2 linked regions of the Drosophila melanogaster genome follow. The protein of the gene in region 1 interacts with the protein of each later gene in a pairwise test. Each region holds a gene or a part of one and is shown on either strand. Other genes may lie near its edges.

What was found.
Region 2: the proteins of CG12391 (region 1) and CG10631 interact in a two-hybrid assay, tested with the Drosophila melanogaster proteins (one large-scale study listed by BioGRID).

What each region holds. Positions count from the first base shown.
Region 1 is NT_033778.4:11,139,798-11,156,528, reverse strand, and holds CG12391 (uncharacterized protein), read left to right. Parts: upstream 1-6,460; 5' UTR 6,461-6,751; coding exon 6,752-6,928; intron 6,929-7,017; coding exon 7,018-8,604; 3' UTR 8,605-8,927; downstream 8,928-16,731. Other genes in the region: CG13230 (uncharacterized protein), read right to left, coding at 1,303-1,394, 1,475-1,601; CG13231 (uncharacterized protein), read right to left, coding at 9,726-10,016, 10,150-10,161; CG13229 (uncharacterized protein), read left to right, coding at 13,600-13,845, 14,679-14,850, 15,193-15,319, 15,535-15,729, 15,816-15,998, 16,178-16,499.
Region 2 is NT_033779.5:19,749,679-19,766,615, reverse strand, and holds the start of CG10631 (uncharacterized protein), read left to right. Parts: upstream 1-9,711; 5' UTR 9,712-10,095; coding exon 10,096-10,747; intron 10,748-12,335; coding exon 12,336-12,481; intron 12,482-12,539; coding exon 12,540-12,869; intron 12,870-12,928; coding exon 12,929-13,187; intron 13,188-13,260; coding exon 13,261-14,343; intron 14,344-14,402; coding exon 14,403-16,897; intron 16,898-16,937. Other genes in the region: bsh (brain-specific homeobox), read left to right, coding at 1-256; fbp (fructose-1,6-bisphosphatase), read left to right, coding at 3,169-3,190, 3,785-4,128, 4,311-4,976; Dus3 (dihydrouridine synthase 3), read right to left, coding at 5,703-7,033, 7,112-7,412, 7,464-7,614, 7,673-7,704; CG10628 (uncharacterized protein), read left to right, coding at 8,043-8,084, 8,144-8,666, 8,725-9,311.

The sequences.
Region 1 (16,731 bases):
TCGAGGGCTGAGCAAACACTTGGGCATCTTGGGCATCTTTGGCATCTGCGGCATCTTGTGCATCGGAATGAGATTCAGCTGGGAGCGATAACTTTGTCCTATGACTTGGTAATCCACTTGTTATCAAATTGTCCTCGTAGCCAATTGCGGGGAAAAGGCGAATGACCAAAAAAACAAAAAAAAAACTTCTGCAACACGATAAGTCGCCGGGCTAAAGAGACTTTACTTTAGTTGAGTTACACAACTTTAGTTAAGCTCTGCAGCTGCCACCAAAAATGCGGCAAAACTTTTGTGCACTTCAAAACGGAAATCCCCTTTTGGCCAAAACTAAAACAAGCATGATAGACAGCTGTAGCCAAATTGCTCGACTATCAGATACCCGCTATTTAGCTGATGGGAGTGCGATTGAGAAATGTCAAACATTTCTTGTCATATGAATAGAATTTAGTAAGTGAAATAAGGAATGGAAAACAACTTGAAACAACGGGAAATTTATCAATCTAAATAAATGCGTAAATTTAAAATGTATAAAAGGACTTTAGAGGGTCGGAATCGTTTCCCATTCCCTTTACATACTTTATAACGGGTAACGGGCTTATAATAGTTTTTAATACTTGAATGTAATTCACACCATGCCTTTTAATATAGTATGTATGTACCTATGTACTTATTTACTAAAACAAGATTCCTCTAATTCAATTATTAGAATATTCGCCCTATTCATTCCTATTCAAGTAAGGTTTTTTTTGTGACTATAAATTTAAGGCCACAGTAACATGGTTATAAATTAATAATTTCTGATACTTAAGGAAGACAAACCACGATTTCTGATAAATAAAGTTAATAAAAGGACTACAGAATTAAAAGCTTAGCTTTCTTTGCCAAATGCTCTTTTAGTCGCTGGCTAAGTAATGTTTATTTCAATTGAAAAGTTTATGGGAAAAAAGAAAGACTTTAAAGTGTAACTAAAGTTTATTCGACCGTATCTCTGCTGGATTTTTCTTTTCAATAAAAAACTTACTGATATATCAAAGTAGTTGAAAAAAGATCATTGCCGAGCAAAAAACTTTGTTACTCCGTACAGGGAAAGTATTCCAATTCGTTCAACCCACATAAATGTTGTTTAAGTTGAGTGAAATTTGATTTCGCATTTTCAGGAGAACACCTCAAAAGTCAGCTAAACAAAGAACACGAATTTAAATCATTAGAATTTGGTTTTTGTTTAACTTATATTTCGAATGGGATTTATTTGGACATTTCAGTTAGTTAAGGTAGTCAGGTAGAGTTGGAGTGCTCGGAACTTCAGAATTGGGCCACAAAGGTGTTCGGGTCAATCAAAGTGGCCACCTCCCAGGGGTGAACAACTGAAGGACCCGGAATCCGATTGTAAGCGTCTGAAAAAAGCAAAAAAAAAAAGAAGAAAAACACGGGGTCAATCCGGTAACAGTTCACGGAAACTATTGTCCCAACTCACCGATTATCTTCTGGATGGCCGTCCGGGCATCCAGGATCTGTGTGGGCGGGGCGGGAGCGGGGGCGGCGCTGACAAGGACCAGACAGATGGTAACGAAGGCGATGGCGGCGACAAGGATTCTCGACATTCTGGGGCTTTGGTTCGGTATTCTGGAGCTTGGATGGTAATCTAATTGAAATAGCTGCGACCGCAGCTATTTATACTCGAAGAAACCGGGATGATGAAAGAAAGCCAGCATAGCGATTTGGCGATGAGCTTCTTGTTTCGAAGCAGCTGTTTGGAAATTGGATTTCTTGTTTTGAATGCGATGCCAACCAATTTCTTTGGCGCTACTTAATCCGGGGAATGTCCGCACTCGAAGATGGCAAACAAGTTTCGGAAAGAACAAACGATTTGAGTTGGGAATTTTTGAACACCTTGCAGGAAAGCATAACAATGCAAAATGCTTTTCGAACATTTAATGCAAATGTATAATCTTTTTGAATGCTAATAGTTTGGCTAAAGGTTGCGCTTATGAACTTCAAAAGTTGAATTTTCAATGAATTGGCTTGTAGAAAGCAACCATTTATACATGAAATCAATTTCATAGTCTTTCAATTTGGTTACTTTATTATCCTTAAACAGATTTTAAGAATGTAATTGAGTTTATTAAACATTTCCTTGCTTTCTTTCTTGTAAATGCATAGACATAAGCATATTATTTAACCCAAAAATCCATTTAATTGTAAATATAAATATTGTAATTAAATTAATAATTAAATAATTAAATTTAATTGTAAATATATACTCATAAACATATTATTTTACCCAAACAATATTCTTGTCGATACAATCGTCTTATCATCGTATTTCGCTTATTATATAAATGGGTATTGAATATTCTATACATAAGAGATTATAAAATTCTTTTTGAATATTCTTGCCGTAACACAAATGTTTTGCATATGACAGTTCATTGTACGAATGTGTGACTAAAAAAAAAAATCTCTGTTTATGTTTTGTTTTGCTATCTTTTATTTCATTTGTTATGCCTCAGATGCTTTGGGCATTTCCAACTACCTCAAAAAAAATGCCGGCCACATGAAAGATACAAATAGGAGAAGAATCTTTTGCTTATTTGTCGCCATTTGGCAGCGGATTTTTGCTGTTGATTTATACAAACAAACCGGTTCGCTTAATTTGCCGCTTGGACGCAGGCCAATCGAAAGTAAAATTTGTCGGTATTTTGTTCGTTTCATAAATTATTTCAGCTTGGGAATTCCTTCTTAGCATGGCGGCAAATTAACAAAAAAAAAATTAAATAAATTGCCGCAAATTGTATGCAAAATTCTTTAGGCAGACGCGCGCTCTGCCAATGTCTATGGAAATTGATTGGATTTGAAATTCGAACGCAGAGCGGAGGTGAAATTGTGTCTCTAAGTTCGGTAATCAGTTCAAGACGTGTATTGCCTAAAGCAGACGTTAAATGTTAAAGAGAACACGTGTCCTTCCAACAAGATTGCCACAAGGAGCGTATTTAGATACACATGTATTCTGATAAACCCGTGTTTGGCCAAAAGGAAATTGAAGTACGCCGCCCGACAATCACCAATTGTTCACGGAAATGTGTACCTTTTGTACGGACGGCTAATGAGGCAGCCGTAAAGCCTCTTATCGCCCCATTTATTGGCCTGTCCGGATCCGCAAATAATCATGATCTATGGCATCGAGTTCATATTAATAATAGCGTTGAGTCCGCTACTTAGTTATACTCATATTTTGTATATTTGCCAGCGATTTTTTATCTACACTTCTCTAGGCGCTTCATTTGGGTCGTGCGCAAATCAGGCTCCCTTATTCATGGTTATACATATATAGGTTGCCATATTAGCTTTGTGTGCTTAAAACTGGGAAAATGCGAGAAAAGCACGGCCAACGAGTGAAAATGGATAAGTGAAATGGATAAGTAAACGAGCAGCAGCACCCATCCCCCTTAGGGCATTTTTAAATTATATGTTAATAAATAAGTATTTTTCTTCATGGACTTCCTCTCACGGGATATACAAATGCTGATGCTGATGCCTACGCACCATGCTATAATTTAACATTGTTTGCATTATCCCAAGGCAGCCAAACGGTGCGTATGCTTAATATGCGAACGGATTAAGCCAAACCCCAAATGTTGAAGTGAAAGCACGACAGCCAAGTCATATAATCTGCAGCATCACAATGAGATAAATGTGATATTAATTATGAGAGTCATTAGCAAAATGCTTTGAAATTCGGAAGAAAAAATATTATTCTTCTTGGCCATGGAAAGCAAAACGATAGTAAAGTCCTTCGCTAATACGATACCATCTTAACATAATTAGGGAATCCTGTTTTGCGTAATTAATGCGTTGTAGCTTTTACCTTCCACATTAGATTCAAACTGCCAAGAAAATCCATTCTCTTTCATTAGGAGGCGCAAGTACATGTACATGCAACTGATTTTGATACATCGACGACTGTGTCAGTAATAATCATTGATGCATTAATATTGGGTTTCTTCCAAGAAGAACAATTTCCCTACGAATTTAAGAAAATTTTTAAAGCTTATATATACATATAATATATAATCACAGTGTGTGTGTGTGCACAAGTCGATATGCGTGTGCAAATTAGATTTACTGGCATGTCAGATACGTGCCCATATTGATGGATCAGCTGCCTCTCAGCTGCCAGGTGGAAATCCCATTGTGGAAAAGTTAATTTTTATGTTCAAAGTTTTCCACCTGCCATCTAGTTAATAAACTTTCCGGGGGGAAACCTTCAGCATATATATAATTGGCAGTCTTCACATACATACATACTCGTTTTCGTTTGGATGCAAATTGAAGTGTAGCCTAATATTTGCACTAAATAACCGACGTATTTTAATTTCCTTAACTATTCGAGCACTTAATTCAGGTTATGAGTTTAAATGGAAAATTAAAAGCATCTGGTTGAAAAGCATCCGGGTGAAAATTAAAGATGGGGTGGGTGCAACTCATTAAATTAAGTTGTGCAAAACATCAAGTGGTAAAATAAATCTCATCTAAAATATAAAATAAATCTCGTTAGAACTCATTCCCGTGGGTAAAAGATAGTTATTTGTACAAACATGCAATGTCAATGTTTAATTTTTTGAATATGAAATAAGATTAATTAGACTGATAGTTAATATAAAATGATAATTAAAATAGGCTTTTTTTCCGCGGAGTGATTGCCATTATATTATGTAACTGAACATTGGTTGTGCTGGCGGCATCTTTTCGTAATTGTCGTGTAACAGGTGAAAGGAATGTGGCTGCTGAAAAACACTCAATAGATAATTAAATGCTTATAATATGAGTTCGTTCTAATTATCACCACAATTAGAATGTATTCTATTATATGTTTTTGATGTGCCCTTTAATGTGCGCACGTGAACGCCAGTGGGTAGGTTGAAATCCATTCAAATCCTCGACGGGTTCAGGAATACATATAATATATATGTATGTACATATATATAGGCTTAAGCCTTCCCAAGGAGCATATGCTGCCTGTTTGTCTTTTGTGCATAATTAATCACTGAGTGACGCCGCCGGGAGTTGAATTGTGTTGTGCTGACATGGCCATGCTTTTTTATCACTGCCACAGTCTCCTGGCCGCTAAATTTATCTCTTTTCTAGGAGTCGCCTTCGCGTCCCTGTCCTTGCAACATCCGGCAACATAAGCGATTCCCTGCGAGTGGGTGGACGTGAAGGCGACCAGGAGGTGAAAAGCTCTAGCCGGTAAAACGATGTTAATGTCAAGTAGATCTCGGAGCACGTCTTGCTGCGATAATTGTTGGCGTAAATCATGTCGAAGAGCAACAGAATTACGTCCCAGACAGACACATACTATCCTTGTGGGCATATTGTACACGAAGAAATCAATGTGTCATACTCACACTTTTATCTTTAGCCCGAGGGTACTTCACATTAAAAGAGTGATTTCGATCAACTTTAAAAAGTAACTATAGAATAAAATTCTTATTGTTGGATCTGAAATTAAAGCAAGCGAAAAAATAATAATAATACAGCCAAAAAGATGCTCTAAAACAAAGAAATAAGTAAAGGACAGACAGAAAGATTTCATTAGTCCGAAATTTGTCATTAACTTATTACGTTTTAATTACTCAACTTATCACTTGATTGATTACTCAACTTATCACTTGATCTATTTGATAGAAGTATTTCAAGTTACTGCAACATTTTCTCGCAGTGTAGTGTCTGCGCTAATGGATTGTGTCCTTCGCAAAGTTCGGGCATTTCCGCGGACATTTCTCTTTGCGGCCACAGGACGTAATTGAAATAAATATTTTTCTGTAGTGTTCCCTTCAGAGCGGTGGAATATTTTTGAAGAGCCACTTTATTGAAATTTGTTTGCTTATTTGCATTTCTTGTACTGGGAATTGATTGAAATTGAAGAATGTAAACTCAAGTAATACGGGGTATTTGCCAACATTTAAGGCATGGAATTCTAAAAGCCAGATTAAGTGTTGTGGCAAAAGGAAAAACAAAGTGTTGCATGGTTGATGCTGGTTCATGTAAGAGGCATTACTCAAATTAATGCGCACAGCAGCGGGTGAAAAATTATGCAAATCACGTAATTTTTATTTCGCCGTGTTGAAAAGTCAAGACGACATGCTTTTTGTTTCAAACGGCTGCTTTTAAGGGGGGTGGCCTATGTATTGTGCCCACTTTTATTGCAAACACGCGCGTAGGTTTCCCTTTTGCAGACAGAAGGTGCATGTATTACTGACACTTTGCGCCTTCTCCTAAACTTTATTTCGGTTTTATTGTTTTAAGCTTTCGTTTTGGGCTGCTGAATTATGTTATTTGCGAGCATTCTTTAAATAACGAATTTCCTTTACTTTTCAAATTACGCGCCCGCTGTGCAACCCTGCGCACGTTATCGATTGCCAGTGGGCATGCGCACAACTATCGATTACCGATGACAAACAGCTGTGTACCTATACTTATCCAATATGGCTGCAAGTAAAAAAAATTGTAACGCTGTGAAAAAACTGCAATTTGAATTGCATTTTCCGCTTGAGTATTAGATAGAAAAGTGCGAGAAATGTGAATTTGTGCAAACGAAAGTGGAACACTATCCGAAAATCAAGTGCGCGCCAAGAAATCGAAGCGAAAAAGTGAATATCGAAAAAGTCGCCGGTGCCCCGCCAAAAAAAAGAAGACTCCCCCACTCCACTTGAAAACATTTCTCTGCGGAAATAAGGAAAATACTGCGAAAATGGAAGCCGACATAACGCCCCTGGCGGAAACCAACGGAGAGCAGCGCCAAAATCCCCAGGAAAGTGCTCAAAACCAAGAGCAACCGCAACCGCGGCAGGATTTGGCGGGCAAGTCGGTGGGTTCCGCTGATGATGGCGTCTCCGGAACTGTGGGACAGATTATGGATTACCTCGAGGTGCGCCCGGCTTTAAAAGACTTGGAAAAGCTTGTGAAACTCATACATATATATATATATATGTTTGTTTATTTTTATTTATATTATAGGACGATGCCGGTGCAACTGCCGACCAGGACGCGGAGATGGGCGAGGCAGAGTATCTGGATGGCGAGATGCCGCAGGAGGATGAGAGCGAGACTCCGCAAACGGAGAAAGCCAATGAAGGTTGCCAGGAATCAAGCAATAAGAAGGATTTGCAAGAATCTGCAGCTAAAGATGATTTTTCCAAGGAAAAAAGTGGAGAGGATGGTGAAAAAGACACCGACAAGGAGAAGAAGGCAACTCATTTACATGAAGATAACAACGATGATGCCGAAAAGGATGGCGACGAGGCCGACGCAGAGGATGAAGACGATGTAGAGAAGCCAGAAGATGAGGATGGCACCGAAGAAGGCGACGAGGCCATTGAAGAAGATGAGGACGCTCTCGATGAAGATGAGGATCCCAACGAAGAAGTCGAGGAAATTGAACCAGATTTCGAGACTGGCACCGATGCAGAAGGTGAACTAATCACTGGCGATGAGCCGGGCGATCTGGCCGATGTGCCCATTAGGGAGCGCAAGAAAGAGGAACCCGTGGACGAAGACCAGTGCCGCGTTTGCACCAGCAAGGAAGAGCTAGTCTGCCTGTTTAAGAAGCAAATCGATGCCACGCCCGCGGACATGCTGCTGGTCATCTGTCCTAATGTCTCGATTTTGCCCAAGGACTTTATGCCGCAATTCATATGCACCAAGTGCATGGGCAGCCTTACCATTGCCATACAGCTGAGAAAGCAGCTGGAGACCACGGACCAGGAGCTGCGCAAGCGTTTGTCCCGAAGCAAGAATAAAGTGCGAAGACCCCGCGGCTATGTGGTCATAGACGCACCTGTCACCGATTCCAGTGAGGATGAGGATGAGCTCGATGATGAGTTCAAGGTATCCGATGTAGCCGGAACCACGAGTGCCGACAGCGATTCTGCCGATTCGGATGACAGTGAGAAGGAGAAAAAGAAGCCCGGACCACGTGGGCGTCCTCGAAAAAAGCCACTCAAGAGAGGCACGGACAGCGATGGGGAGCCTTCCAGCGCCCAAAAGAAGAAATACCAGCCCTCTTCGACGGCTTCAGTGGGCCCATTCGAGTGTCCCAACTGCGACTTGACGTTCTCGCGCAAACAATCCTATGTGCTGCATCGTAAGACTCACGAGAGAATAGAGCATGCCTGTCCCATCTGCGGCAAGAAGTTCAAGGTGGAGTGGGCCTATAAAACGCACATGCAACGGCACGAGCAGGAGCGCGCCCATTTCCGCTGCGAGCTGTGCCCCAAGATATTCCGACTGCGCGCGGAACTGAAGCACCATATGGCCCAGCGACACGACGAGCATGGCTTCATTTACGAGTGCAAGCGCTGCCAGCGGACGTTCCTCACCCAGCAGCGACTGCAGCGTCACCAGGCCGTCGGTTGTCAGCGGCACAAGGAGGATAGCGTTCGCATCAAGGAGGAGCAGTCGCGGTTCAAGCAGGAGTCGCGCAGCAAGGACGACCGCCATCATGGCAACAACAGCAGCAAACGCCGTCCCGGCGAAGGACGGGATCTTTTCAAGGCTGTGGCCCCACCAACAACCACCTATTGGAGCGATAGCTTCTCGGACTAAAAAAACCAAGGTGCGGCGGCTTGCGGATTTCAATTCAATAATTTCTAATGAACGATTTTAAGTTTCTCTAGCTGTAGGAAGAATTCAGTGCAAATAAATCACATTTGTAATAAATACAAAATAACACTAGTGGAAGTTTTGAGTACATGTAAACTTCTCAAGCTAAGTAAGTAAGCGAAAAGGCAAAATAAAAAGTTCGATTAATGGCAGATTGGAAAATATTGACTTAGACGCTAAGATTTTCATTTGTTCCTAAGGACACCATTAGATTATAAATACTTCAAACATATAAGATTCGCTGTTAAAATAAACACTATGTTTGGAATAAGTGCGTCGTAACTTACATGGAGTGCGCTGCTCCTCAGTGACCCACAATGCTTTCCTTTTGAACCCCTTTTAATTGGATCCCAAAGCGTTTGCTCGCCAAATGGCAGCACTTAGTGCCGCCGAGCTAAAGAACAACCAACTGCAGTTCTGCACAATCTTGGCCATAATGTGGCGTTCTAATGTTTATAATTTCGCTTGTGGAGCATAACTAGGAGTGTTTAACTACTGGGGATTACTTTGGACCCAAGCTGGGGGTCTTTAGTGTAGACTTGCAGCATATATGTGCATAAGCGGAGCACTAAGTGTGGTTACTCACAACTTTCAGATCCGTGTACAATTCTTATCAGGTATTTCAGAAAGGTTTGGTAAGAAAAATGCTGTAGTACTTCAAGCAACTAATTTGGACCACAAAATTTGCACTTTTCCAAGAAAGTTTTACTCATGGCCGGAAGGAAAACGAACTGAGTTGCAACGTTTTAGTTATAATTTTAAACTGTAAGCCAATAAACTAAGTTATTTGTGTAAGCCTAATTTGTAAGCCGTAATTTATGCAAAATTGTTAAGCTTTTCTTTTGGGTTTCTGTGGGAAGTTTTGTTGTGATTGCAGTGAGTTTTTAGGGCTAAATTTAAAACTCTTTAAATTGAATTGAAGACACACGTTTGACTTTAACATTTATTTACATAGCAATCGGGAATTGTTTGGGCAGGAAATCTGATGCACGTGCGAATGTTTCGGCAATGCTGCTGCACTACAAAGGTGTCTAATTGATCCGCCGCTCCGTGTGCGTGCCTAATTAGAAGTGGTGGATGGAGTGGTAGGTGGGCAGGTGATAGGACACCGAAGACACCGGATGGTGGGCAATCAGCGGGGCATGGGCGATGAGTGGGGCATGCGATATGATTGGGGCATGATGCACCAGCGTGGGTGCAGCTATGTAGTGCGAGTGGGTGACCAAGGGGGCATGGTAGCCGAGCCCCAATGATATGCCGCGCTTTGCCTTGACAGAGGACTCCTCCTGCTGCTCCTCGGCGGCGGGAGCAGGTGCGGCCAGGATGCAGGCCAAACTGGCGATGAGCAGCAGCAGCTGTGCCGTTTCCAAGCAATTTTCATTGGTATTTAACGATGAAAAGCGGGAAAAAATGACGGATTATTAGAAATTCTTAAGAAAATATCATATAATTTTCGCAATTATCTTCTTCGCTCTGACGATAGCTTACAGTGAATTTCATGTTGTTGGTATATTTAGGATTTATGTGTAACTCGACTTGAAACTGTTCGCACACCACTGGCTTTAATTGAACTAACGACGCTGGCAGCCAGAACCTGGTTATTTATACCATTCGGATTGTTCTCAAAACTCACTCAAAACTAAGTCAAACGCACTCATTAGGCGAAAACTATTTAGGCCCAAAAATAAAGTAAAATTCGCACAAGACACGCATCGAGAAAAATATGCCCACATCAAGCCAAAATTGCACAAACAAGCCAAGCGACTCAAGAAATATGTACATATGTATGTATGTAGATAGATGTGTGTGCCTGTGCGTATCCATCCGAGTGGGGCCGAATGTATCTGAGTATCTGAGTATCCGACGGATCGCCACATCGCCAGTCCACATAAATTGTTTTTTAATTCAGCAAATTATTTGGAGTACTCACTTTGAGTGCCAATAGGCGCCTCAATTTATTAGCCGCTGCTGTGGTCAATGTGTTCATCTCTAATACTAAATGCCAAAGCCATTAATAACAATAATTTCTATCTGGCAGATACTTGTCAGCAATTGTCGCAGTGTCTGAGTATGTGAGTTATGAACACTCCATTCGAAGCTAATCTATTGTACAATCAAATGGAATGGTGCATTTCAAAGCTAAAAGCTATTAGCTGTGTACCAAAGGTAATGGCCAAGGATATTTGTTGCCTGTTCAAAAATGGCAAAAATAACAAAATTTCATATTAAGTATTAAGTATTGTATAAATATTGTGGCGTATACAAACAGGCAGGTATTTTGTCCTTTCTGAAATGTAATAGAAAGTTAGACAAGGCTGTGCAAATAAGACTACCAACCAAAGGATTAAATAAATTAGCCAAGGGCACGAATTTCATTATGCCTTGAAATGAATTGACATAACCGAAAACAATTTCGCATTGGCCTGCCGGCGACAACAAAAAATTGATTGACACTGTTTGGCCGGGCTAATTGAAAAAGACACTTTAAGTTACAACTAAATTCTAATTCACTAAATTCTCAGCTGATATGAAGCGCTTTAGTGGTAGTTAAAGCACTTAACGACCTCAATAATTGGACCCTCTGGTGGGCCAGAAGTGATGGGGGAGCTAAGCTGTGGCATCGTTGAATCAATTGGCCCAGCGGGGATTATGTGGCCAGAGCTGTATGTGATAAGGGTGTTTCTCTCTCTCTCTCTCTCTCTTTTGCTCTCTCACGTTATCTTATACTTCCGGCGGAAATGTGGCAATAAAAAATGAGGAAAGCGAACTTATACAGCTGTGTGCACTCAGAAAAAGTGCTCTCCTAATCCCCTTACAATCGGTTTATAAAAGTTAAGTGTATTGTTGAAGATAAGTGAATATAACATATTTTTCGTTTACAATTTTGTTTAAATTTCTTTTTAAGATTACTTGTACCACTTTGCTTTCTTAATAAAGTGGTAAATTCCACTTTCCTTCATTTCCTTCCTTGCATTAGGGCTACATTTTAGGTTAGTTTTTTTTTGAGTGCATTTGACTAGCGAAATGTTAATTAACGGCCCCTCAAATGGCGGAAAATGAGGAAAGAGACCTGCAAAGGACGGCCTGGTGTGCTACTGCTGTTTATCTGCAGCTGTCAGTTGGTGGTGTTAATTTTTTGTTAGTCCTTTGCGGGAACTTGGGCGTATCCTTTGTGGGTGCGCCACCTGTTCAGACATGTTGCTCAAGGCCACGCGCTAGTGAATAGGAGGCGACTTAAGGAACTTGCCGACAGTGAGAGGCACAAAGATAATTTCTTTTTAAAACTGAAATGTCTTTACGCTTTATTTGTGAGCCACGAATTGAATTAAGGCTGTTCTTTGGAATGGGGATGGGCGATAAGTTGTAAGGGGTTTTAAATTGTCAACACCATTTGTGCATAGGAACAGACAAACGAACTTGTTGACAAATAAGAATATTTACCATATAAACAAATCAAGATCTGTCCATATGACATAGAGATCTCGGAAATTATATGAAACTGTAACTAGATGGCCATCATGGAAATAGTCTCTTTCCCACTTGCATATCTATTCGATAGTCGAGGTTTCTTCTAATTTCCCACAAAAATTGTTTCCTTCTGTAAAACTCCCGGAAATTAATAATTGCCTATGTTCCTTTCAATATTGCCTCCCGAAATGTCCCTTTGATAACAAACGCCATTTGCAGAAAAATGCTTTCAGAAGGGCAGTCGAAACACCGAAATGGTCCAAATGAAATGAGTTTTTTTTTGGAACCGATTTCATTTTGATTGAATGTGTGTGGCAATAACTAATAATTGCCCGTAACGCAACGGCTGTAAACGTTTGACGAAAACGAAAGGCCAATCGATCAACATCAAATGGTCGACAGACATTGGATTGACTGGCAGTTAGTTTCAGTTCAATGGTACACACTACATTGGACAATTTTGAGTTACCTAAATATGCATATTGAACGAGGCAATGCAATGCGATTGAGGTCCGGCTGTGCGTTTCAGTTGCGAAATGAGTTGCGAACAGGATTTATATTCAGATTTAGCCATTAGCCAAATGCAACACCTTCGACGACGTGTGGACACGTCGACTTTGATTCGGCCAACTGAGTGATCCGGGGTAGTAGTGTCAGATGCCAACATTACTTATGCACTGAAAGAAATAAATAAAGGATTTACATGTGTAGTAATGTATAATTGGGCTGCATGACATGCATGATAATGATCAACTTTCAAGCAATAATAATTCTATGACATCACGACATTCATACGGACAGAAAGACGAACATGGATTTACCATTAAAATGTAATTATAATATAATATAATAAAGTATCTAAAGAATTTTTTACTTGGATCTCCTAGCAATTTTAACCATATTCTCAAATGCAAAATGTGAAGTTCTTGCAAATAGATACACAGACTAATGGGTCCGCATTTGCCAATTAATTGCCTACAACGCCCAGGTTGCTTTGAATCACAGGTGGACATTTGGACAGGTTTGCTCAGCTCACTGGCAGCTCCACTTTGGCCATTCAAAATTGTTTATCGCTTTGACGAGTTGCAGTAGCAATTTCGACACCGTATGCCCATAATGAAGAAACGGCATTGATAATAACAAAGTAATGATAAATTAGATGCTGTTGACGTCTAATTCATTTTTGATGATAGTATTGATTTTATACATAAATGACACAATTTCCCTTTTATTTTGTAAAACATTATGGCATTTTCACTTTAATGGTCCTGTAAAACACAAGTTAGTTGTAAAGCACAGAAAAACTTTCCATTTCGATGACAAGAAGTCCTTTAAAATTCAAATAAATATATAATTCTAATTCTAAATAAATAATTCTAAGCAATGGTTTATGTATTTAAACTCCTTAAATTTTGTTCCAGTTTTTAACTAGCACATATACATCAAAAGAGCGGAACTAGATAGTCTACAATGATGCAAGAGACCGGCAATCAAATGGGACAGACCCATATGCACCAGCGGGTTCCTTTCAACGACACGGTTCTGAAGGACTATCATCTCACGAGCACCGATATCGAGAAGTTTGTAAAGCTATGGCAGGAGTACCAGATGAAGAACATGACCCCTCAGGTGGATGAGTGCCAGGGCTATTGCCAGGGGGAAATATACAACTGGTTGCGAGCCTACAACAGCATCCATGGATACGTTTCGCTGATGGTAAGTAATACTCGTGATTACAACTCCCCCTGGGCACGAAACCCGCAATGTTGGCCAAAACAAAGGAATCGGTTGACTAATGATGAGCAAGGGAAGCCAAGACGATACACACAGACCTTCGCCGACAGACCACTGATGAATGTAGGGGACTTCTTTACCTTTGAACTCTTGCCAAAGTCGTCCTTTTTTCGAATTAAAGTTATAGCATGCGCTCAGCTTAACCATCAAAATCACAAATGAAATTAGTGGCCGGGAATCTCGGTCTTTTGTTTATGTCCGGGTTTCCCTTTTCAGGGCTTTTTTGAAAAGGATATAAATTATATTAGATGTAGTTAAGCCGTTGAGGCGTTAATGTGCTTTTTTCATTATAATTTTCAGTCGTAAGTCATTTTGCGTTGTAGCAGACGGCCTTTACCACAGGAATTGGGTCAGAAAATACCGAGAATCCATTTCCATCAAGGCTAGTTCATAGCCCATCTTTTCAAATAAATATACAATAAATCAAATACAGTTGAAAAATGTAACTTTATTGCTTTCCTTCGTTCGCACAAAAAATAGTTTACCTCTTAAATTGAAATAAAATTCTGAACCAAACTTCGGTTACTGTAGTTCCATTTTTTTTTTTTTTTGCTTGTGTGAGCAATGTTAAGAAATGTAAATACGAGAGGTCACGACAGTTGAGTTGCTGCTCACGAGCTGAATAAATAAAATATTCATCCACTTTGGTGTCCAAGGGGAGTGCATTCAGTTGAAAGTATGTGAGCGCTCACAGTTTCGATTTGACAAAGGACGCATTTTATGTTGATTCTTTCTTGTTTCTTTAAATCACCTAGATTTGCATTTTCGGGACAATAGCAAACATCTTGAACATAATGGTCCTGACCAGAAAGGAAATGGCCAAGACGCCCATAAATAATATACTTAAGTGGCTGGCGGTGGCCGATATGTTTGTGATGCTGGAATATATACCCTATACATCGTATCAGTATATATATATGGGGCCAGGTAAGCATACATTTAGTAATAATATTTAATAATAGTCTTGGTTATAGCTTTACTTGTTATTTATTTATTAGTGTTATCAGCTAGATTATTATTATAAAGGTATACTCTTGATCAGGATCTACACACGTCTGTCTGTCCGTTTCTAAGGGTATATTTTGTTAACAATTTTGTTAACAATTCCCATATATCCTTTCCCCTTTGCACTTACTTTTAGTTGAGTAACGAGTATGTGGTAGTCGAGGCAATCGGCTATGACCTTCTCTGTAGGTTTCCTTTCTTTTTTAATTTTAAGCCGTTTAAATTTTTTTGAATTATTTAATATTCTTTGTATGGCTGTTGCAGGTGAAAAAGATTTGAGCTACACCTGGGCGGTTTGTCTGCTGGTTCACATGCACTTCACCCAGATCCTGCATACGATTTCCATCGGATTGACTGTCACGCTGGCGGTGTGGCGGTATGTGGCTATCAGGTGAGATGATCCTTCGGCCAGCTATGCATGACTTATTCCGGAATTCGCCGTCATCCATGTAGAGTTTGTCTCCGGTTCACATTCATGATAATCCACATCCGCAATTCGAACAGACATCCGGCTAATCTGATTACCACATCATTGTGGCAATGTGGCTTCTCTTCTCTTCCCCCGTCTTTTGTTTATAGCCAAATGTTACCGTCTCTATTCCACAGACATCCGAACGGGGGCTGTGCCAATTTCCTGCTAGCACATTCCCGGGAGGCGATCCTCCTGCCCTTCATCCTGTCGCCGATCCTCTGCCTGCCCACGTACTTTGTGTTCCAGGTGCGTGAGACGTACGACGTGGACAAGGTCAACTCGGAGGCCATGTATCATGTTTATTTCGACAAGGACTCGGTGCTCTACAGGTGCGCTTAGATAAGAAGTCTGATGTCATTTATGCATCCTGCGAAGAACCAATTGTAAAATATTTCATCGTGAAAATCCTTAACAGATTCAACTTCTGGATACATTCCGTGCTCATCAAACTTCTGCCGTGCGGCATATTAATTGTGATCAGTGCAGTACTTATGCACGTTTTGTGCGAGGCATCGAGACGTCGCTTGAAGCTGAGGGATTACAACAATCCCGCCAAATATGCCATCCAGCTTAATCTGAATGAAACCAAATCCAAGAAGTAAGTACGCACTTGACTCGTTTAGTGCTTAAGAATTCGCCTCATTTGCAGTTTGCCTTGTTAGTTTCATGATCTTTGATTTTTCTGTTTTTGAATGGTCTCGGATTTTGTCAAATCTCTTCTTAGGTTCCTTTTTGCCATCTTTTTTATAAATTTGTCTTTTTGTTTTTGTATCTTAGGCCGCCTCGCTGTGATCGCCGTAACGATCGGACTACCCTTTTGCTGGTTGCGGTACTGGTTTTGTTTCTGATCACGGAGTTTCCGCAGGGATTACTTGGTCTGCTGTCCGGAGTGATGGAGAAGTGCTTCTTCGCCCACTGCTATCCGCCGTTTGGAGAGCTGATGGATCTGCTGGCACTGATCAACGCCGCCGTCGGATTCGTGCTGTACGGTCTGATGTCGAAACAGTTCCGGACCACCTTCCGATCGCTGTTCATGAAGCGGCACTTTGGCAGCACCGAAATGACCAGATTGACCCGCGTAACCACGACTTGCGTCTAGTTGGGCACATCTAAAGATGTGATCATGGGCAGGAGCAAACACTAGTGAGGGATGAAGTAGGTGAGGGACATCCAAGATGTTCCGGCCCGGCATTGAATTTGAATTTTCTAAAGCATAAACTTTATAAAAGTTTCGTTGACTAAACAAAGCCTAAATATGAGAAACTGTGAGTGTGGAATTATTGTACGGGCTGACCAGTTGATCAGTTGATTTCCACAATGGTTTACTTTTA
Region 2 (16,937 bases), on another chromosome or scaffold:
CTCACGCAGCGAACCGGGCAAGCAGCCGGGCGAGGCCACCTCCTCATCCGGGGACTCCAAGCACGGCAAACTGAATCCCGGATCTGTCGGCGGCACACCCACTCAGCCGACGAGCGAGCAGCAGCTGCAGATGTGCCTGATGCAGCAGGGTTACTCCACGGATGACTACTCCGATCTGGAGGCGGACAGTGGCGACGAGGACAACTCCAGCGACGTGGACATCGTCGGCGATGCGAAACTCTACCAGTTAACATAGACAGTTCGATCGGGATGTGGACCTGGATCCTAAAGTAGTAAAGTTTTCGGTGTTTCAGTTGGGGGAAATACAACTAAAAGAGATTTTCAAATCAAAAAATATCAGTTTCTTTTACTAAATGACTTTTCTATTAGACAAGCACAGAAGTTACAAAACAACACATATATTATCAGCGCGAGCATGGTTATACCATTTTGAAAATATCTATTATTACGATTTAGTACGAACTATAGTTCCTTATAATTGTGGAAACTTACCCATCAGTTTCACCATTGAATTAATTGATTGATTATAACAGATACCATCCAGCTACTCTAGCTGTTTTGATCTTGTCCAAAAGAAACATATTTATTTTGCTATAATTATAGTTGTATTTCCCCCCAGATACATATTTGAATTGAATCGAAAAGCCGTGTAAATACCAACGAGTTCTTGAACGAGTTTTCTAGTCATGTATTAAGTCTAATAACTAATCAAATTTAGTGATTGTATTCGAGAACTTCCATTTTAAGATACATTAGTTCCCTGCGACTTCTTATCCAGAACATAGTGCTTACAATAAACGGAACGGAGCGAATTACGCGAATGCTGGAGAAGTGTTACTGGGTGGGTGGGTGGTGTAGCTTGATGCCCGCCCCCTCGCCGGGCAATCAAATCCAATTGACAACACAAAGTAGCAACTAATATGGTTAAGCAGCGGGAATACTGATGTATGGGGTTGGCGACTGCCACGCCCTGCGCATGTCCTGCCGCCCAAGTGGGCGGGCGGAAGCGGGTGGGATTGGATTGAATCGGGGTGGATGGAAATGCACTTAACAATGGCAAAATAATTGCGGGTTTTCAGACAGCCATTTTAGTGAGACACCCATTGTCAAGTGCGGAATAGAGTGAGGAGGTAAAAGTTAAATGTTTCAAATTGATTGGTAATTACGGGTTAGCAGGAATGCTCTCGAAAAAATATTAATAGTTTACCCGATTAAGAATGAGTCTTGGAGGGAATGGAGTTCCATATGCTTATATACATGTAGATACCTTTGCAGTCATCAAAACTCATGGATCTATTTGTTGAGAGAAGTTATCATTTTTAGTTTCATACTTTGGACTGTTAAGACTTTTCTTGACGTCAACGAAGCATATTCCAATTCTATTCTGGCGATTAAATGGCATATGTACATATGCTTGTTAATAATATGTATTTTTTTATATAAATTTCGAGTGTGTATTGAGTTATGCTCAACTTGGTAAACATGCGAATTAATAATATTCGGAATAATATACAACCTAAGGTCGAAGCAATGACAAGTCGCAGTCGCTTTAGCCACTTGTATTTTCCCAGTGAATACAGAAACTAATAAGTAGTACTCTTGGGCTTATCTTGCTATTGATAAGCTCAATGTGAAATAAACTGCTAGAGACGAGCCTCCCTCGATTTTAAGAGGTTGGCAATAAAAATCACAATAAATGTTTTGATTTTAGACTCTTAGTTAGTATAACTCGTATTCTCATGGACCATTTCACATCATACTTATTGTTTAAAATGTTCTCACAGTGAAGCATTTAACGATGGCATTTTCATCGGTAAGCCTGACCACTCTCCTCCGCTCTTCATATGTGGCTCCCTCTTAGTTTTGGAGCCATATGTCTGCAGCTTATGCTCCCCATCTGGACTTGGACTCTCTTCCACTCCGCTCTCTCTTCTATATACATTTTCCGTGTGTATGCTATTTACGTGCTATCAGTTGCCGTTGAAAACAAAACAAAATGTAGGAGAAGGGATGAGAAAGCCGACCATTCTATTCACTAACTTTTATTGCCGATAACTTAAATAATAGTTCAGTTAGATCATACGAATGATAAACAAATGGAAATACTGAATTTTTATAAAACATTAAAAGAATCTTCTTATATTATATATCAAGTATATTCTTCTATAATACTTTATGATTTCTTCAACTTTAATTAATAATCTATAATAGCTTAGTTATACTCTTATTAGGAATATACATCCCTAATTTTATTTATAAATGTTTAGGTAACAGTGAATATATGTACAGTACCATATACGATCCTCATTAGGATCATCAGATATTATTATTCCTTATTTCCCATTGTTATGCTCCAAGCAACTGAACCAAGTGCATATACCCTCTGATAGGGCGTGGCCGGCAGTGACGTTTCGCTGGCTTTTCTCCACCGTCGTCGTGGACGTGGACTAAAGCCAAAATTAGTCTCTTTAGATCAGCCGTCGACCGCGGTTCGTTGTTTGTTTGCCAGAGTTTGTCGATTTGTTGTAAGTGAAAGTGCATCTCTTGGGTTCTCGGGGAAGCTCCACAAATGTTTGAGGTCAATGGCGGCGTTAAGGACACGTCTGAAAGTCATTTAGATCTCCCACTGCTATGGAAGATTAATAGAGATATACGTATACTTTTCTATAGATATTATGTTTACTTATACTCTATGCGTTCATATATACTCAGTTAATCGGGTTCTACGCGGAGACGTTCCAAAAATAAATAAGGGGGCACGTGTCGATGTATCAGATCTGCCGGCAGAAATATTATTTTGTGGTTCTATATATTTTTCCATAACACATTTGTACGATTTTTTTTTTGTAGAGCAAACAGGTTATCAGCCAGTCAAATACAAAATAACAACCAGACACCACAACCACACAAACAAAAACATGCATAATCAGAGTGACAAGTTTTTGATAGTGATTTTTTATGCAACAAGCCCCCGAAAAAACCACTAGAGACAGAACGAGGTCACCGATTTGACCTTCCGATAGGGGAGCACAACCCCCTCCCTTCTACTAAGTTCTACTAAATTGGTAATTGTTTCCACCTTAATGGATCCCCACAGGAACCGCACCATTTACAGAGCGTACTGCAACTACATACATATAACCAATAATGGCGGCCAGTAGCGGTGATTGTAAGTGAAGTAGCCTGCTTCCTGCTTCCTGCCTCCTGCTCCTCCAATGTTGCCCAGCTCCTTTTGCCCCAATGTGCTTTCCTTATGGCCCACCCATATCTATACTATGCCCGCCTGCACTGCCCAAACTTGTTCCACTGACCAGAAATATTTTTAACCAGTTGCTCCAAAATAAAACCCCGCTTCAGTTGTACAGCAGTTGTACATTTAATCCATCCTAAATCCTTTCCACTGCCTATATATGTTATGTATTACTTAGCTCGTTGTCTTTATTTTCTTACAAAGTAATATTACTAATATTTAATCGATTTATTCCAATCCTATGCTAATCCTCTCCCAATCATATCCAGTAAAATTTAAAATCTTGTTTTATACTACAGTATAATTCGCTTAGCTGCATCGATAGTTAGCTGCATCGGCAAGATATCTGCATTATTTTTCCATTTTTTTGTGTAAATAGAAAATAGAAAATAGAAAAAAAAAAAATTAAGTTAGCTGCATTTTTAAGTTACCTGCATCGAGGCATTGTGCAAAGTACTCGAGGCAGCTAAGCGAATTATACTGTACAACTAAATTTTTTTGCATATAAAATAGCCAAAATGACCCAACAGAGGCCAGCTTTCGACTCCAATGCGATGACGCTGACGCGTTTCGTGCTGCAGGAGCAGCGAAAGTTCAAGAGCGCCACTGGCGATCTCTCCCAGCTGCTCAACTCCATCCAGACCGCCATCAAGGCTACATCATCCGCGGTGCGGAAGGCAGGTATCGCCAAGCTCCATGGATTCGCTGGCGACGTGAATGTCCAAGGCGAGGAGGTCAAGAAACTGGACGTGCTCTCCAACGAGCTGTTCATCAACATGCTGAAGTCATCCTATACCACATGTCTAATGGTTTCCGAGGAGAACGAGAATGTGATCGAGGTGGAAGTGGAGAAACAGGTAGGGATATATTAGAGTCTTTAAGCCTTAATACGTGACCAATTGTTACGAAATTTGGTATGAGGGTGTGAATTAGCTTTTAGCTGTCAGTTAAGATGGCTCTATCTCTAAGATCTAACCCTATATCTTCTAGCCACATTTAATGACGTTTCCCTATAATTTATTCGCTCTTCCACCTCCAGGGCAAATACATCGTGTGCTTCGATCCCTTGGATGGATCCTCCAACATAGACTGCCTGGTGTCGATCGGTTCAATCTTCGCCATTTACCGCAAGAAAAGCGATGGTCCGCCCACAGTGGAGGATGCACTGCAGCCCGGAAATCAGCTGGTGGCCGCCGGCTACGCGCTATACGGTTCGGCCACAGCAATTGTCCTGGGTCTGGGTTCGGGAGTGAATGGCTTCACTTATGACCCGGCCATCGGAGAGTTCGTGCTGACCGATCCCAACATGCGGGTGCCGGAGAAGGGAAAGATATACTCTATCAACGAGGGATATGCAGCGGATTGGGAGGATGGTGTCTTCAACTACATTGCGGCCAAGAAGGATCCCGCCAAGGGAAAGCCCTATGGAGCGCGGTACGTGGGTTCCATGGTCGCGGATGTGCATCGCACCATTAAATACGGCGGCATCTTTATCTATCCGGCAACAAAGTCCGCTCCCAGCGGAAAACTTCGTCTGCTGTACGAGTGCGTGCCCATGGCCTATCTGATGATCCAGGCTGGAGGTCTGGCCAGCGACGGAAAGATCAGCATTTTGGACATTGTGCCCAAGAAGATCCACGAGCGCAGTCCCATATTCCTAGGATCCAAGTCCGACGTGGAGGAGGCACTTAGCTACTTAAAGTGATTGTTGTGACTACAGTAACGTATCAATAAAGATCAATTATATTTTTTACTAAGAAATGCAAGTCCTTCAGCCGTTCTGCCCAAAGACTTATGCTCAAAAAAATTGACAAAACCATTTCTAATTGGCCTGAATAATTCTCAACTAGTTCTAGCTGCATTCCAGAGTGGCTTAACCTCTGGTAGTTCCTCCATTGGAGGAACTGATTTCTGAAATCAGACGGAGTGCTAGGTGCTTACTCCGCCTGTGGCCCGGTATTACAGTGCCGGCGGGATTTCGGCCCAATTAAATAATACATTTTAAAGCTAGAGGAGAGAAGATTGGTGTTGCAACCATTGAACAACTGGTATTTGTTCATCTTATAGTAAGCAAGAATTGGACAAGTCAAGTATTATGGAAACATATTTTTGAGTTGTTTAGGTACCAGCGAAGAGATTACTATACATCCATTCCAATCGTGAGATTAACGAATTAAAAGAATGGCTTAACATATATACATATGTAATATGTACTTATATAACATATATATATATGTTTAAGATTAACGAATTAAAAGAATGGCTTAACATATATACATATGTAATATATACTTATATAACATATATATATCTATATATATATGTTATATTATTATATCTTAAACAAGCTGTTCATTTCATTTAAATTATAAATTTAATTATGTCAGACTACGCATAAATTCAAAAATACAAATTTACACACGAAAGAAACCTAGAAGGCATTCGCCTTGTGCTTGGGTACAAAGGTGAAGCCTTCGGGCACTCGACCCAGCAGCGATTCACTAAGCTTTACCCAGTCAGCTGCGTTGCCGGAACTCATAAGGGTCTCCATTTCGTCGCGTCCGCGGTACTTTTGCGGTCGAGCGTTGATCTTTTGCGGCGGTGCGGTCTGCAAAGCCTCGGGTATGTATCGGTACAAGAAGGACTGCCATTCGAGGAGGAATCGGCGAGTGGTCTCCACGCCCTTGGTGTCTGAGCCCCAGTGCTCCAGTCCGTAGTTGCAGAACTTTTGCAACATCTCGTAGCGTTGCCCGGACGATGGGGACCAGGCCTGTTTCTCCTTTATCTCTTGGAATATCCAGGGCTTTATTAACGCGCCGCGTCCAATCATTACGGAGCAAACGTGAGGCGCCAGCGTCCTTCGCTCCATGTAATCCTCGTAGCTGAGTATGTCGCCATTGCCGATCACCGGCATGCACTTTGCCTTGGCGGCACACTCCTCGATGTAAGCCCAGTTGGCGTGTTTAGTGTAGCGCTGCTCCCTGGATCGCCCGTGCAGGGTCACCGCCGAGGCACCCCACTCTTCAACAAGCGGAAGAAGTTCGTGCGCTACGCTCTTGTCTGCATAGATGCCGGTGCGCATCTTCACGGTGAAGGGCAGGCGGTCCGACAGGGCTGCACAACTCCGCACTGTCAGCTCCAAGATATTGGTTCGTCGCATCAGCGCACTGCCACCGCCTTGCTGGTAGATCAGATCTATCGGGCAGCCAATATTAAGATCAATGAAGTCCACCTGGGCCGTCTCATGAATAACCTGCGCCGCCTGGTTGAGCATGTTGGGATTATTTCCGCATAGCTGGACTCCAAAGACATCTTCGCTCTGGTGTCGCTTGGTCAGGGCCCACTCCTGGCCCATACCCTTCAGGAGAGGCTGAGCGCAGGCCATCTCGCCACAGGTGATGTCTGCACCGAATTCCTTGCAGATCCGGCGGAAAGGCAAATTGCCCAACGTGGTCAGTGGCGACAACACGAGTTTCTCGCGGAAATCCACGGCGGGCTTATGGTCAGCATCTCTGCCGATAGCGGAATCATCAATTGCACAACCAGTGGCAGTTGGTTTACTCTTAGTATCCGTCTGTTTTTCTGCATCTAATATCTCGGTGGTTTCACTAGGTTGTTTTTCTCCAGTCTCTTCAGACGGATTCTTTTCCTTCTCCTGTTGTTCCTTTAGTTTTCGGGCATCCCTCAGCTTTTCAGCCATTTTAATAAGCTCCTTGCTCCGACTGAAGTCATATTCATGTTTTCGTAGACGCACTTGGAGTTCTGAAAAGGGGTTCAATTAATGAGTTTATCAAGGTACTTTAGTATCAGTTAGCTGATAGGTGCAGAAGAATTGCCCACCTGAACTGACGCCATTGCATGTGGTTGGAGGAGCATTTTCATCGTAGTCCTCCCTTTTGAGGTTCCTGCCCTGTTCATCAGTGTGGGCCTTTGCAAAGCGACAACTCACACCGCGGGCACAGTAGCCCTTGGTGGTGTACACATAACATTCAGGGCCCAAATCTTCTCCCTTGGCGGCCAAGTAGGCGTCCAGGTCGTGGACATAGCGACAGTTGGCCAGGGAACAAGGTTCTCCACCGGTTCCATCGATCAGCGAGTGGCACAGATGCGAGTACCGCTCGTCCTTGAAAACTGGGCGGTTCTAAAAATACGATATTTTGTATAGTATCTATATTATATATTATTGACGAACCTTGTTCTGTCCGCGTTTGCGTTCCTTTTTATCCCATTTCTTTTTTTCACCGGCTTCCACTTCTCCACCGTCCTCGCGTTTTCTTTTGTTTGTGTCGCTGTTTTCGGTGTTAGCTGCAGCACTGCCGCCATCGGCTTCAGTTACCAGGTATCTAAAAGGTATAAAGAGTGAATTGAATTAACCAAATATTCGCCATTAAGCTTACTTACTCTGGTTTGATGTAGCAAATACCGGAATCCATTTCACAATAAACAATCGCACGTGTTGGTATGCGTCTTCTTCTACCTTGTTTTTGTCAATCAGCTGCTTGTGATGATTTATCGATAGAAGAAAAGATATTGGTCGCGTTCAGCATAACTGTGAATTGAATGGATTTCACTGGTTATTAACTAATAAATACTAAAATTAATCCACGACTTACGTGGCAATGATGAGGTCTCCTCCACCCTTAAATTGGTAATTTAGAAGTTTTTGCCCGAGCTAAATTAGATGACACCGATTTATTTCCCTCCGTGGTCACAGTGAATCAGTCACTTTTTGCAGGTCTGCTCATCGCTATTGTATAATGCCGCCTGCGCGATGGTGCAAATCTTTAAATTCCTGTTAAAATCCAGCAAATCTGTGAGAACATTACTATTATACCTAAATCAAAAGTAATATCAAAAGGTTTTAATGCCCAGACCGGTCGTGCCCACTTCCGGCCCACTTTTCTGGACACACTGCGCCTAGCGGTTCGTGGAGGACATGGTGGAAATGGACTGCCCAAATACGGAGGAGTTGGTGGCCAAGGCGGTTGCGTCTACTTGGTGGCAAAGGAAGGACTCACCCTTCGCAAGGTCGTCCAGGGATTGAAGGATAAGCGAGTGGCAGCATCCAGTGGCGAGGACAGTAGCAAAGCCAGCATCTTTGGACGCCGTGGAGCTGACCAGAGGATCGAGGTGCCTGTGGGCGTCCAGGTATATGACGACCAACAAAAACTCATCGCCGACCTCGACGAGCACGAGGCGACATGCATTGTGGCGGGCGGAGGTACTGGCGGATGCACGGCCACAAATTTTCTGGGACGTCCCGGGGAGAATCGCACTGTAAATCTGGACCTAAAGCTAATAGCAGATGTGGGTCTCGTGGGATTCCCCAACGCTGGCAAAAGCACCCTTCTTAAGGCCGTGTCCAATGCCAAACCAAAAATTGCAGCTTATCCCTGTGAGTTATTGCTAGATCAAGTTGGTATTTAATCATTAACTAACAACTCCTACCTCAGTTACCACCATCCGACCCCAGATTGGAACCATCGAGTACAGGGACCTGCGCTCCATCACAGTTGCCGATCTTCCCGGTCTGATCGAGGGCGCCCACGCGAACTTCGGCATGGGTCACAAGTTCCTGAAGCACATCGAACGCACCCGCCTGCTGGTCTTCATGGTGGATATATTCGGCTTCCAGCTGAGTCCCAAACATCCGCATCGCGACTGCTTGGCCAATGTGTATGCGCTCAACAAAGAGTTGGAGCTCTACGATCCATCGCTGCTGGAGAAGCCCAGTGTCCTGCTGCTGAACAAAATGGACAAGGAGGGTGCCCACGAGATCTTTACCAAAGTTAAGCCGCTCGTCAGCGATTTGGCCAGCGGACTTGAACAGTGCCCCGAGGAACTGCGTCCGAAACAGGTGCTCAATTTCGACAGCATTGTCCCCATATCGGCCATGAACTCGTCGAAGATCACGCAAGTGAAATCCCAGCTAAGGAGGACCCTGGTGCGGCTGGCTGAGAAGCAGTTCCTGGCGGACGAGGATCAGGTCAAGGAGAAGCTAAGACAGCGCGTTGGGGTGGTGGGTCCAAAAATTACCTAGTTGTTATTGCAAATAGTTTTGTGAGCGGCTTAAGAAATTAAATTAAATTTGTAGCAGCGGAAATGTACTGCAAACTGACTTCTTATTCTTAAATTAGTTTTTCTACAAAATACGAAAGGCAGTAAGACAAGAAGAATACTTCTTATAAAGCATCCTGTGTGTTTAATTCTTTGTCGGAAATCAATTTGAAAACTTTACCAAGAACTGAAATTAAAAATTGTTTCTAACTTTGTTACTGCAGTAAGTGAGTAAGATTCGATAGAACAAAGTGTAAGTCCTTGGGTAGAATCCTTTGAATTGAATTCGATTTCGAAAGCTTTCCATGCGATGGAAAAGCTCCCACACCGATAGAACTGCTATCGATAGCTGGTCACTGTGGCCCCACCGCTAAGTGCGCTCCACAAACAGTTTGTTGTTGTGTCTCGCTGGACGTTTCGTTCGTCGCGCGTTCGGGAGCGAAATAAAGCGTAAAATGGTCAAAACCCTTCGCCCGCTTCGAGCCAATATTAAGTGCAATTGCCGAGCTGTTGCAGAGTGCCATGTGTGAGTTGCCGCGGCAGTTGGAAAATGCGAAATCTAAAGGACAATAGCAACAATGCCAGTTCGATACATACACACAGACGGGGGCCGATGAAAAACTGGTATATAAAAGACGCCAAAAGCTTGCGAAAAAGAGAGCTAACGCGCCCCTAACTTGGCCGCAGGATAACATACCACAAGGCGAACCGAAAGCAGGCGACACTTACCAGTGGGCAGCATAAACACAGGCAGCACCGCGTCCGTGATGTCACAACAACACCCCCATCACGCCCACCCCCACCACTACGCCCACCACTACCCGCCCCCCGTGACGCCCATGTCCCTGCAGCAGCAACAGCAGCAGCAGCAGCATCAGCAGGCGCAGCTGTCGCCTCAGCAGCAGCAGCAGCAGCACGCCAATTGGTACTCACATGTTGCTTCCTACCCCACACCACACTCGGCCTTCGGCCCCGCCCCCGCCCCCTCTTGCAAGGCCGCCAACAACAGTGGCAGCGGCAACAACAACAACAACATCATGGGCGGCGGGGGATACGGGCCAGGAGGTGGTGGCGCGCAGGGCTATTATGGCGCCGCTGGCGGTGGCCTCAATGTCAGTGGGGCGGTGGTGGGTGGTGGTGGGCCGAACTACGGCCTTGGGGCCAACACAGTGGCATATGCCCACAACCAACTGCTGCAGTATCAACAACAACAACAACAGCAGCAACAACAACAGCAGCAGCAGCAACAACAGCACCAGCACCAGCATCTTCCACAGCACATAAGCCAACAAAGACCCTATATGGGCCACAATATCATGACCGGCAGCTATCCCTATATCAAAAGCGAACCCATGGAGGCCTACCAGCAGCCCCCGAATCCCATGGCTCCGCCCCCGGCACCAGAAGTATTAATAAAATGTAAGTTCCCGAAAATGAGTATCTAGTACGATTAATATTAGTTAGTAATCATATTTAAAGTTTACTACCGGGTATACTTCCTTGAAGCGGTTTTACAGTGGGTTGGGTTTTTGTGTATACTTAAAGAGATTCCCAGAGAACCAGGAGACGAAAGTAGCTATTATAAAAATGAGAGTAATTCTTTTAATTACTATGCAAATTAAAGCACACAAGCGCGAAATAATGTAAATTTATGGCAACTGAAACACTAAATTTTGCATAGCTGCCGATTCAGATTAAAGACCAAATATGTTGATTTATTAAGCCCCTTGAATGGGGAAGTAAAAATATTCAAATCTAAAATCCCTTTACGCCGAAGAAAGTCCGAAAAACCTAAACGCAAAATCCGCCTTTGCCATAGAAACAGATACAGAATACACGCATTATATATCAAACTAACTTGGGGCCATTTTCTTATAAGTAGCGTAGTTTCAGCTCCATTTTGGCGTCGAATCAATAAAACGTTTGTTGAGTTTCGCTGAGGTTTGGCGCTTATTTCGTTCGGATGGTTTTCGGATTCGAATTCGGATTCTGATTCGGTTCCACCGCTCGTCAACCTACGGCTCTGTATCTGTATCTTGCTCTGTTCGGTTCCGTACCGTGGCGTACAATTTGGTTCTGTTTGCGCGACTCTCGGTATGTGCGAGATGGTATACGGTTGTCAGTATGTATCCATTTGGCAAATGTGTACTCGGATAGATGCTTTATACTACCGGCGTAACCTATTCAGTTCGATTCGTACGCACACATGTGCATGCATGCACTCGTATGTCCAGTGAGTGTGCATATCATCTCCCTCCTCACATTTTTTGGAACGGGTTGTGGTGGGCCACTGTCTTTCAAGTCGCTTCTTATGTAACTTGCTCCCGTAGACTAACCTACAAATTATTGGTCCCGCCCCGCACTCCCGGTGCCATTTCGATGGGCGTGTGGGCGGGGCTGAATGCAGAGAGACAAAGACAAATATTATTGGGTACGACGCCCAAAACATTGATACCATAGGTAATGATTCTCAGTCTCTCCAACATGTTCGCGTAATCCGGATATCAACATAAGTATCCGGATGCAGAAGGCAAAGTTGCTAATAAATATAAACACTAAGTCGGACATACGAATGAATATTGGTGCTTTTTACTTTTAATTGACCAATCAATGAGTCCAATAGCTATTACTTCAAGAATGATTTTAATATAGTTCAAATGCGAACAGCCTAGTTGGTACCATAAATAATGTAAATAGAAGAAATTTCTGCTTGTCTGCAGAGCACTCGGTTATCTATCAATTTTATGTAGGGGCAGTTAATTCTTATCACCAACCAATGGAGAGTACAAAATACAATTCGGAACCATAGAAACAGCAAACAGTGGATACAGAATTTTCATCTGCGCATAGTTTTAGCATTTCGCGGTTATATAAATCTTTGAATTAATCGCCAGCATTAATAAGTTAGATTATAGACATATTTATTATTCCTTTGAACCAAGTATTATATGTACATTACTTTGGTTTTAAAAGTAAAAAAAATAGTAATCAAATATTTCTTGAACAGCGGAACCCATTGACGAGCATTCCTACAAGTCCAACTATATAGACGACAATACGCCATTTGCTGACTTCAGCAAATTCAGCGAATTCAGCGAGGACATGCTAAGTCCGAAAGTGGAGCTGACCGTAAAGGATGAGTCCTACGGAAGGGTGAGTTTATAATGGTTCCTTGCCGAAACTCACCGTAGTCATAATTTCTATTCTCTAGACCACTAGCAGTTTCCTGCGTCGCAAACAACAATCGGATCGGGGCAATGAAAGTCTGCCCATCTGCCAGCGCTGCAAGGAGGTCTTCTTTAAGAAGCAGGTCTATCTCCGCCATGTGGCCGAGAGCAACTGCGGCATCCAGGAGTACGACTTCAAGTGCAGCACATGTCCCATGTCCTTCATGACCACCGAGGAGCTGCAGCGGCACAAGCTTCACCACCGGGCCGACAGGTTTTTCTGCCACAAATACTGCGGCAAGCACTTCGACACGATCGCTGAGTGCGAGGCGCACGAGTACATGCAGCACGAATACGATAGCTTTGTCTGCAACGTAAGAAGCACATATCATTGGCGTCTTGGAACACTATATCATTGATCGTCCATTTGCAGATGTGCTCCGGCACCTTCGCTACGCGGGAACAACTGTACGCCCACCTGCCGCAGCACAAGTTCCAGCAGCGCTTCGACTGTCCCATCTGCCGCCTATGGTATCAGACGGCTCTAGAGCTTCACGAACATCGTCTGGCTGCTCCATATTTCTGCGGCAAGTACTACACGGGCGGACAGTCATCTTCTGCGTCCCAGTCGCAGGCGCAGCAGCACCAGACCAACTACAAGCTGCAGGACTGTCATATGGCAACCATGGAGAGTAAGTTAGGAAACATAAGTAAACAAAAAAAAAAAAAACACCATTTCTAACGTGCTTTTTCTCTGTGTTTTAGTGCCCACAACCCCGCACCACAAAACCACTCCATCCGGCTCGTCTTTGCCAGCGACGGCTGCACTGAATTCTCTACTGCAGCAGCGTCAGGCAAATGCCGACGGAGCTGCCATGTTCGCAGCATCCGCAATGAAGAACGAAGTGAATGTTAAGATGGAGCGGAGCTACAGCAACTCTACCAGCGAGTCATCCTACAGCGTTCAGGACAGTGGCTACAATAATGCGTATGGAAGCGACAGCTCAATGCACGCAGGAGCGATCGCCGGGCCCCAGGCGCACTCCTCAACGCTGGACGACTCCGAGGACGCCCTGTGCTGCGTTCCTCTGTGTGGCGTGCGCAAGAGCACGAGCCCCACGCTTCAGTTTTTCACGTTCCCCAAGGACGAGAAGTACCTCAATCAGTGGCTGCACAACCTCAAGATGTTTCACATACCCGCCGCCAGCTACGCAAATTTCCGCATCTGTAGCATGCATTTTCCGAAGCGCTGCATTAACCGCTACTCTCTGTGCTACTGGGCCGTTCCCACGTTCAACCTGGGCCATGACGACGTGGCCAATTTATACCAAAACAGGGAACTCACTAACACCTTCACCACCGGCGAGGTAGCGCGCTGCAGCATGCCTCACTGTACAAGTCAGCGGGGTGAGAGCAACTTGAAGTTCTACAACTTTCCCAAGGACATCAAAAGCTTGATCAAGTGGTGCCAGAATGCACGACTTCCCGTTCAGGCGAAGGAGCCGCGTCATTTTTGCAGTCGCCACTTCGAGGAGCGCTGTATTGGCAAGTTCCGTCTGAAGCCGTGGGCGGTGCCTACTTTACACCTAGGTGCCCAATATGGCAAGATCCACGATAACCCAAAGAATTTGTACGTTGAAGAAAAACGCTGCTGCCTCAACTTCTGCCGCCGTAGCCGATCCTCTGACTTCAATATGTCGCTATATCGATTTCCCAGAGATGAAGTTCTCCTGCGACGCTGGTGCTACAATCTCCGCTTGGATCCCGGAGTGTATCGTGGGAAAAATCACAAAATATGCAGCGCCCACTTTATCAAAGAGGCGTTGGGTCTGCGCAAACTATCACCAGGTAAGTTTGAACGGAATTGCTGCGTTTGTAAAGAATATTTAAATGATTTCTTAATGTAGGGGCCGTTCCGACGCTTCATCTGGGTCACACTGATACCTTCAACATCTACGAGAACGAATTGTGGCCACCGCCAACGGCACCCAACAGTCACAGCAGTGGCCTCCAGCACCAGACGCAACAACATTCCTCGCAACACTCACTGCAGCAGCAATTGCATAGCAAATCGTACCACCGGCAATCGGCGGCCTCCACGTCCTCCTCCGCCAGTTCGGCAAACTCTCACTACGTGGATCCTGATCTAAGCGCCTCTTACCTGGGCTTAGGTGCCAGTGGATCTTCTGCAATGAATGCCAGCGACAGCATGGACGTATGTTGTGTGCCCAGTTGTGAGAGCAAGAGGCACAATAATGAGAACATTACATTCCACACCATACCACGTCGACCGGAGCAGATGCGCAAGTGGTGCCATAATCTGAAAATACCCGAAGAAAAGATGCACAAGGGTATGAGGATCTGCAGCCTGCACTTCGAGCCCTATTGCATCGGCGGTTGCATGCGTCCATTTGCGGTGCCTACGCTTAACTTGGGTCACGATGACGACGATATTCATAGAAATCCGGATGTGATCAAGAAGTTAAACATCCGGGAAACGTGCTGCGTCGCCGTGTGCAAACGAAATCGAGACAGGGACCACGCGAATCTGCACCGTTTCCCAAGCAATGTGTCCTTATTGACCAAGTGGTGTGGCAATCTGCAGCGTCCTGTTCCGGATGGAAGTAAACTTTTCAACGACGCCATTTGTGAAGTGCACTTTGAGGAACGATGTCTGCGCAACAAAAGACTAGAGAAGTGGGCAGTGCCGACACTATCGTTAGGCCACGAAAACATCCCATACCCGCTGCCAACGCCGGAACAGGTTACGGAGTTTTACTCTCGACCCACTGCGCCCAATAATGGCGAGGAACAGGGAGAGTGCTGTGTGGAGACGTGCAAGAGAAATCCAAGTGTGGACGACATCAAGCTTTATCGGCCGCCGGAGGAAGCTTCCGTGTTGGCCAAATGGGCGCACAACCTGCAGACGGAGAGCAGTCAACTGACAAGCATGAGGATCTGTAATCTTCACTTTGAGGCACACTGCATCGGCAAGCGGATGAGACCTTGGGCTATTCCAACACTGAATCTGGCAGGCACAATAGAGAATCTCTACGAGAATCCGGAGCATTCGATGCTGTACAAGCGGCGGACTCACATGAAAGCCAAGCAATCGGCTTCCGTGAAGCCCACTTGGGTGCCCAGGTGCTGTCTTCCGCATTGCCGCAAAGTTCGGGCTCTCCACAACGTTCAGCTTTATCGCTTCCCCAAGCTCAATCGCTCCACTCTGGCTAAGTGGGCGCACAATCTGCAGGTTCCTATGGTTGGCAGTGCCCAGCGCCGTCTATGCTCGGCTCATTTCGAGCCGCACGTGCTGAGCAAGAAGTGCCCGGTGCCGCTGGCGGTGCCCACATTGGACTTGAATGCGCCGCCCGGCTTGAAGATTTACCAGAATCCAGCCAAGCTCAAGGCTAGCAAGCTGTGTCTGCAGCGCGTGTGCATTGTCGAGAGTTGTCGCAAGACGCGGGCGCAGGGCGTCCAGCTCTTCCGACTGCCACATAGTCCAACGCAGCTGCGCAAGTGGATGCACAACATCAAAACGCGTCCCAGAGCGGCGATGAGGGCCCAATACCGTGTGTGTTCCCGCCACTTTGAGACACACTCTTTCAATGGCCGGAGACTGAGCGCTGGCGCCATTCCCACCCTGGAACTGGGTCATGACGACGAGGACATCTATCCCAACGAAGCGCAGGCCTTTGCGGACGAGCACTGCGTGGTGGAGGGCTGCGAGGCATCCAAGGAACAGCCTGACGTGCGACTCTTCCGCTTTCCCACAGAGGATGACGATATGCTATGGAAGTGGTGCAACAATCTCAAAATGAACCCGGTGGATTGCACCGGCGTACGCATATGCAATAAACACTTCGAGGCAGATTGCATCGGGCCCAAGCACTTATACAAGTGGGCTATTCCCACCGAGGAACTGGGTCACGACGACGCCGACATCGAGCTAGTGCTAAATCCCAAGCCGGAGGACAGGTATGTGGATCCTGTGTTCAAGTGCATCGTACCGACCTGCGGAAAGACGCGTCGCTTCGACGAAGTCCAGATGAACAGTTTTCCCAAGGACGCGAATCTCTTCGAGCGATGGAAACACAACTTGCGGTTGGAACACCTCAGCTTCCACGAACGCGATCGGTACAAGATATGCAACTCTCACTTTGAGGATATATGTATTGGGAAGACGCGGCTTAACATAGGTTCGATTCCGACTCTAGAATTGGGTCACGACGAGACAGACGATCTGTTCCAGGTAAATCCGGCGGAGCTGCAGAGCAACCTTTTCGGACGACAGCGGCGAGTACACGACGAGTCGGGCGGTATAATCATCAAGCAGGAGTTTTCCGAGTCGGAGGACGTCAAAACGGACGTGTCTGATGCCAAAGATTTCAATACGAGACAGGTAAGTTTTCTATTCTTAGAGGAGCAATAATTAGCCAGTT